Linked DNA regions of Arabidopsis thaliana. The protein of the gene in region 1 purifies or fractionates together with the protein of each later gene. This does not show direct contact. Each region holds a gene or a part of one and is shown in the gene's direction. Other genes may lie near its edges.

Region 1 (3,754 bases):
GATTCCAAACGCAAGTGGATAATGATGATGATTAGGATCTTGTGCTGTTGCAATAACCAACATCCCACCATACACAGTTTTAAGATGAGTTGCATCCACAACTATCACTTTCCGCATTGCCCTAAAACCTTCAATGCAAGCGCCTAATGCAATGAAGAGGTACTTGAACTTTTTCTCTCCTTCCAACTCCACATAAGTTACTGTCCCTGGATTTACCTTCTCTAACATGTAAAGATAAGAAAATAACATCGTGTAGCTTCTTTCCGGAGTCCCTCGCACATCACTAACATGTAGCATTTTGCCTCTTAAGGCAGTGGAGTATGAACAATGCACCCCAAGTCTTCCTCTTACAATCGACATAATGTTTTTTGGAGTTGGGGTCTCTAAATTTCCGGGATAATCACAATGTAAAACCGATGCTATTAATCTTGGTGTGCCTCGCTGTATACTGTTGCTTGTAGTCTCAACACTCCGAGAGCATGTATGCATCTTTCTATGCACTCTAACACTCCAAAAATGAGATTTTTTAGTTCTCGCAACTCTTAGATACCAAGTACACCCTTTAGAAGCTTGGCGGCATCGTAGCATAAGTCTCAACGGGTCTGACTTAATAGTATAGACTCCAAAAACTTCTTTCTTTGCAGCTCTGTTAACCAATTCCCACACAGCCTCCCTTGAACAAAATTCTTGACCAATTTCAATACCCGTACCATCATCCCATTCTATAACCTGCGGAGTAACTTCTACACTTCGTGGAATATCGTGAATATCATCATAATCAATCCTATCATCCTCATCTTGTTCCTCAACAGAATTCACCGGCCTTTCCATCGGCCTTTCGATAGCCACGATCTCCGTACCTACTACATTCTCACAATCATTCACATCATTATCATATCCATCATGCACCATCTCACATACTTCATTTAAAACATCATCCTCTATTACATTTACACCAACTGAACTTCGACGCTCCGGTACAGAAATTTCCTCTCTCCTCTCAACTCCTATACCATTTAATTCCTCCACATGCAAAACAGGAATCCGACTCTCTTCATCAGATTCTGTTAAAAATATGAAGACATCCTCATCATTTACAATATATGTCTCTCTCCTAACTTTAGACAGATTGTAACTCAGTTTCAACTTGACAGAAGCTTCATCAATCGCAACCTTCTTCATGATCTTGTCAACTAACATCGAATAGCTAATCTTCTCCAAACTACTCGTCTTAAACGATATAACATATAGTGAATTTTTACCAATCCACTCATTCACTTCAGAATAGTATCCTCCAAAGTCAAAATGTACCTTAGTGTGGATCTTCTTCTTCATCGCTCCTGAAAATACAACCAGTTCAACTCCAATCAAACATTTTAATAGTTATACCACATGTACTCTTATCATACGTTGAAATCAATCTCTCGTCGCACTCGTCTCTACTGAACCTAATTCGTTACCTTTCAATTGATTTCCAATGTTAATACATACCTATTCGTTAAACTAATTGGTTAATCTAAACTTTGCAAACACAAACCCCCCAAATCTTTAATATGAAATCTCGGAATTCAAATTCAACTCACATTCAACCTACATTCCTTTGCTCATCACCTCAAATAACGTTTCGGCAACCTCTAATCGATTACTCTTTACTTTGCAAACCAATCATCAAACTATCAAATTGAATCGAGCTGGGAATTATATAGAATTCAAAATCCCAATCTAAAATCACAATGCACCAATGTCAAAGGAAATATGAGAAGAAACTGACCTAATTCGTGGCTTTTACGCCGGATTTCAAGTCGGCGGCATGAGGAAATCGATGGTGGCCGACGAAGAAGATGAACGTCGACCAAAGAAGAAGAACACGACGACGAAGAGGAGAATCTCCGAACTCGATTTTCTTTATTTAGCTTTTGAATTTCTTTTTCATTTTTTTAATCAACTCATTAAGGGTACAACTGGTATATCACATTTTCGGTGGCATTCAGATTAACTTATGGCAGTCCAGATCAGTTTTTTCAAAAAAGTGGCATAAGTGATAAAAGTCCCCCCCTGCGGTTTGGTTTCTTGTCCGCTCCAAAACTTGTGAGGGCATTTTAGTCATTACAACATGGGAACTGGATTTTTAAACTGGTGAATTCGTTAGCGTTTATGTGAATAATCATCCATCATCAGGAAAGATCCGAAGAAAAGCGACGCCGTTTTAAAGGAGATGGATAAACAACCGGCGACCAGTTGGAGTATCCATACCCGGCCGGAGATAATCGCCAAGTACGAGATCTTCGAGCGAGTCGGATCCGGAGCTTACGCCGACGTTTACAGAGCTCGCCGTCTCTCCGACGGTCTAATCGTCGCGCTCAAGGAGATTTTCGATTACCAATCTGCGTTCCGGGAGATTGACGCGCTCACCATCCTCAATGGATCTCCTAATGTAGTTGTTATGCACGAATACTTCTGGCGTGAGGAAGAGAACGCTGTGCTTGTGCTTGAGTTTCTTAGGTCGGATCTCGCTGCGGTGATCCGAGATGGTAAGAGGAAGAAGAAGGTAGAAGGAGGGGATGGATTCTCGGTTGGGGAGATTAAGAGATGGATGATTCAGATTTTAACCGGTGTTGATGCTTGTCATCGGAATTTGATTGTACATAGAGATTTGAAGCCTGGGAATATGTTGATTTCTGATGATGGAGTTCTTAAGCTTGCTGATTTTGGTCAGGTGAGATTATGATTGTTACTGATTGTGTTAGTTATTTCATTGTTTGATGCACAAATATGAGAAACCTCTGAATGAAAAATGCTTGGTTTGCTTGAAATTTGGAAGAGTTAGTGTAATCAAGTGGCTAGACCTTATCATTTAGTGTAATCTATGAGTTTCTAAATGTGTGTTGGCTTCTTGGTTCATATACAGGCTAGGATACTCATGGAGCATGATATTGTAGCTTCAGATGAAAACCAACAAGCTTACAAACTGGAAGACAAAGATGGAGAAACCAGCGAACCACCAGAAGTTATTCCTGATTATGAGAACTCACCTAGGCAAGGGTCTGATGGTCAGGAACGGGAAGCGATGAGTAAAGACGAGTACTTCCGACAGGTGGAAGAGCTCAAGGCTAAACAGGTTGTTAGAGATGATACTGATAAGGACTCGAATGTGCATGATGGAGACATATCTTGCCTTGCAACGTGCACTGTTAGTGAAATGGATGATGATCTCGGTAGGAACTCGTTTTCTTACGATGCTGACGAAGCAGTGGATGATACACAGGGTTTGATGACATCTTGTGTGGGAACCCGATGGTTTAGGCCACCAGAACTGCTCTATGGATCTACGATGTATGGGTTAGAGGTCGATCTATGGTCGCTTGGTTGTGTGTTTGCAGAACTCTTGTCTCTTGAGCCTTTGTTCCCAGGAATTTCAGATATTGATCAGATCAGCAGAGTGACCAATGTGCTGGGAAATTTAAATGAAGAGGTCTGGCCTGGTTGTGTTGATCTTCCAGACTACAAGTCAATCTCATTTGCTAAAGTAGAATCTCCTCTTGGTATTGAAGGATGCCTTCCCAACCATTCAGGGGATGTGATATCGCTGCTCAAGAAGCTTATCTGTTATGATCCAGCTAGTAGAGCTACTACTATGGAGATGCTGAATGACAAATATTTAAGTGAAGAGCCTCTTCCAGTTCCAGTTTCAGAGCTCTATGTGCCTCCGACAATGAGTGGACCAGATGAGGATTCTCCGAGAAAGTGGAATGAT
Region 2 (3,754 bases), on another chromosome or scaffold:
TTCCATATGAAACTTCCTTTCTTTAGCTCTTAAGTCTCTCGCTTTCTCTCATTGATATATTGTGGGCAGTTCACTTTGCGTCCACATGGTAATCTTGGGGTAGACAGATCTAGTATCCCTAGTCGATTAACAGCTTTACGAGTGATGGATGAGCTTCTTTCAGAAATTCCTGAAATCAGCAGTAAGACCGAAGAAATCAAGCAGTTATGGAATGGACAACACAACAAGATGATGATCGAAGAGCCATGGCTGGGTGAAAGCACTGTTCCAAGCTGTCTTGAAAACATTAGAAGAGACGACATGGAGATAGTTCTTTTGGGCACTGGTTCCTCCCAACCCTCAAAATACCGAAATGTCACGGCAATTTACATCGACCTATTCTCTAGAGGCAGTATTCTCTTGGATTGTGGGGAAGGTACCTTAGGCCAGCTTAAACGAAGATATGGTTTAGAAGGAGCTGATGAAGCAGTCAGAAACTTGAGATGTATATGGATCTCTCACATCCATGCTGATCACCATACGGGTCTTGCAAGAATCCTTGCTCGCAGACGTGAGCTTTTGAAAGGATTGGCTCATGAGCCAGCAATTGTGGTTGGACCGAGATCGCTTAAGAACTTTCTCGATGCATATCAAAGACTTGAGGATTTAGATATGGAGTTTCTCGACTGCAGGAACACCACAACAACATCTTGGGCTTCTGTAGAAACCAGCCGCCCTGAGAAAAATACCAGTAGCGGCAATGCAGAGGGTTCTTTGTTCAGTAAAGGAAGTCTAATGCAGAGTATATATAAAAGACCGAGCAGCCCACTGACAGACAATTCTTCAGCTTTACCATTCTTGAAGAAACTGAAAAAAGTCCTCGGCGAAATGGGGTTGGAGCATTTGATTAGCTTTCCTGTTGTGCATTGCCCTCAAGCCTTTGGGGTTTCGTTAAAAGCAGCAGAAAGAAAAAACATTGCCGGAGATGAGATTCCGGGGTGGAAAATGGTTTACTCGGGAGACACAAGGCCTTGTCCTGAGATGGTTGAAGCTTCAAAAGGAGCAACAGTTCTTATACATGAGGTGCTTTTCTATATAAGCAAAACTGTGTAAAACATTTACATCTCATTCTTAAAATTTACCATCTTTTCAAACTTATAACAGGCGACGTTTGAGGATGCGTTGGTAGAAGAAGCTGTGGCTAAAAACCATAGCACAACTAAAGAAGCAATCAAAGTTGGATCTTCAGCAGGTGTATACCGAACCGTACTGACACATTTTAGCCAGAGATACCCAAAGATCCCGGTGATTGACGAATCACATATGCACAATACATGCATTGCCTTTGATATGATGAGTATAAACATGGCGGATTTACATGTGCTTCCAAAGATTTTACCTTACTTCAAAACTCTATTCAGAAACCAAGTGGTTGAAGAAGAAGAAGAAGAAGAAGAGACTGATGATGATAGCTTAATACGTGACAAAGTCCCAAGCTTTTTCATCAATTAGTATATAGATTAGAATGTTCTGTTTTGTCCCCTGTTTTTGACTGTGTTGTATTGTCTTTAGAAATAATATCAATTTAATTGATTTTTCCTGTGAGTGTGACAGAGGAAATAAATCAGTTTCATGTGCATAATGTGAATTGTGAAAAAGAAATTAAAAAAAATCGGAACTTTGGGAAATAAGGAAAGACACCGAAGAACACACAACCATTCCTCTTTATTGACCGCTTCCTTCTTTCTCTGTCACATACGAATCGGTGAGTTTTTTTCTTCTCAATTTCTCCGTTCTCTGCTGATTTCTCCGAGGTTATTGATTCGATTCCGCTTGACGCATGATTGTGTTGTCTCAAGGGTCTAATTTTACCTCCGCGTTGATTGGTTTATAGGGGAAATTTGGATCCCGATCGTGATCTTTAGTTTGGTGAATTTGAGCTGGAATTGGAGCTTAAAGGATCGGTTTTTTGACTGATCTAATTGTTTTGAGGATCGGTCTTTCATAAAGTTGTTGTCTTTGAAGCTTTTTTGACTGGTGAGGACGAAAAAGTTGTGATTTTGGGAATTAGGGTTGTTTTGTTTCGAATTCGCCATGGATACGAGCAGGAGAGCTGTGGAATCGTATTGGAGGTCGCGGATGATAGATGCGGTTACGTCTGATGAGGACAAAGTTGCGCCTGTGTACAAATTGGAAGAGATCTGTGACCTCCTTCGTTCTTCTCATGTCAGCATCGTCAAGGAGTTTTCTGAATTCATTTTGAAACGTCTTGATAACAAAAGCCCCATTGTTAAGCAGAAGGTATTTTCAATTACGTTTGTTTTCTGTTTTTGATTGTGAAATGTTGTTCCTTTGTGAGACATTTGTTTTCCATGAAGATTTTGATTGAAATGTTTGCATGTCGGGATTGATTTAGATTGTAGGTAGATGTTTGTTTTTTCTTAGAATGGATCAAAGAGAAAGCTTTATGTGTTTGATTATAGCGTAGAGTTTGTTTATAGGGAGACGTAGAATGGATCTTATTGTGGCTAAAAGCTCTGTAGGAACTGGTTATACTGATTTTGGTTATTATATGTATATACAGGCTCTTAGGTTGATAAAGTATGCTGTGGGAAAGTCTGGCTCAGAGTTTAGACGAGAAATGCAAAGGAATTCGGTTGCAGTGCGCAATCTATTCCATTACAAGGGGCATCCAGATCCTTTAAAAGGAGATGCACTTAATAAGGCTGTACGGGAAACTGCTCATGAAACAATTTCTGCTATATTCTCAGAAGAGAATGGTACTAAACCAGCTGCTCCTGAAAGCATCAACAGACGCATTGAAGGATTCGGGAATACTAACTTTCAGGTGCCCTCTAATGATAATAAATCGTTCCTTAGTGAGGTGGTGGGTATTGGAAGTGCATCTATAAAGCAAGGAATCAGTAATTTTGCTCAAGGCCATTTGCCAAAGAAGAATGAGAATGGCAGCAGCAGCTACAGAGGTCCAAATCTCCACAGATCATTAACTATGGAAAATGAGAACTTCAGTAGATATGATCCAGTTAAGCTGGGGAAGGATGGTAACTACGGAACGTCTAAGAACACGACTGGTGGATCTTGGGGCCACGCTTCCGGAGAAGCAAGTGAAAGTTCTGCTTCAGTTCGTGTTGAGAGCAAAACTCGTGAGGAAAAGCTGCTGGAAACCATTGTTACATCTGGTGGTGTACGCCTGCAGCCAACTCGTGATGCTCTTCATGTTTTCATTTTAGAGGCTGCAAAAATGGACGCTGTTGCTTTAAGCATTGCTCTTGACGGGAAGCTCCATTCTCCAATGTGGCAGGTATGTTTATGATTATTTCCTAGTCACCTCCTTGTGAAACTGTTTGATGCTACTAATGTACTTTTTTCTTGATTATATCATCTGTATTTTCTTTTCCCTGGCTTGTTTCTTCTGTAGCGTTAATCTTCCCACTTTTGTACTTTGAAAGTAACTGTGTTTTTCTGTTTGGCAGGTTCGGATGAAAGCTTTATGTGTCCTTGAGGCCATTTTGAGGAAGAAGGAAGATGAGAATTTTTCAATTGTACATACCTATTTTAGTGAAAACTTGGATGCCATACAGCGGTGCGCAGAGTCTCCACAATCTTCCCTTCGAGAAAAGGCGAACAAGGTAAGCTTCTGCTTGTTATAACCATTCACAAAACTCTTTTTTGGCATTATGCTAATTTGTTGGTTAACTCGAGATACCGATGTTGTGTAGGTTCTGAGCCTTCTAAATGGTGGACAGTCAAGTGG

What was found. Proteins that work in one complex are often made in the same cells at the same time.
Region 2: the proteins of CAK1AT (region 1) and AT3G16270 purify together in Arabidopsis thaliana (affinity purification with mass spectrometry, with the first as the bait; one study listed by BioGRID). This does not show direct contact.

Annotation. Positions count from the first base shown.
Region 1 is NC_003075.7:14,286,256-14,290,009, forward strand, and holds the start of CAK1AT (CDK-activating kinase 1AT), read left to right. Parts: upstream 1-2,141; 5' UTR 2,142-2,215; coding exon 2,216-2,716; intron 2,717-2,908; coding exon 2,909-3,754. UniProt on the Arabidopsis thaliana protein: CDK-activating kinase that modulates CDKD-2 and CDKD-3 activities by phosphorylation of the T-loop. Activates CDKD-2 C-terminal domain (CTD) kinase activity. Activates CDKA-1 probably by phosphorylation.
Region 2 is NC_003074.8:5,511,628-5,515,381, forward strand, and holds the start of AT3G16270 (ENTH/VHS family protein), read left to right. Parts: upstream 1-1,645; 5' UTR 1,646-1,744; exon of another isoform or gene 1,745-1,873; 5' UTR 1,874-2,073; coding exon 2,074-2,280; intron 2,281-2,563; coding exon 2,564-3,301; intron 3,302-3,473; coding exon 3,474-3,629; intron 3,630-3,719; coding exon 3,720-3,754. Other genes in the region: TRZ4 (tRNAse Z4), read left to right, coding at 70-1,062, 1,144-1,491. UniProt on the Arabidopsis thaliana protein: Mediates clathrin-dependent trafficking of vacuolar cargo from the trans-Golgi network (TGN). Promotes plant growth.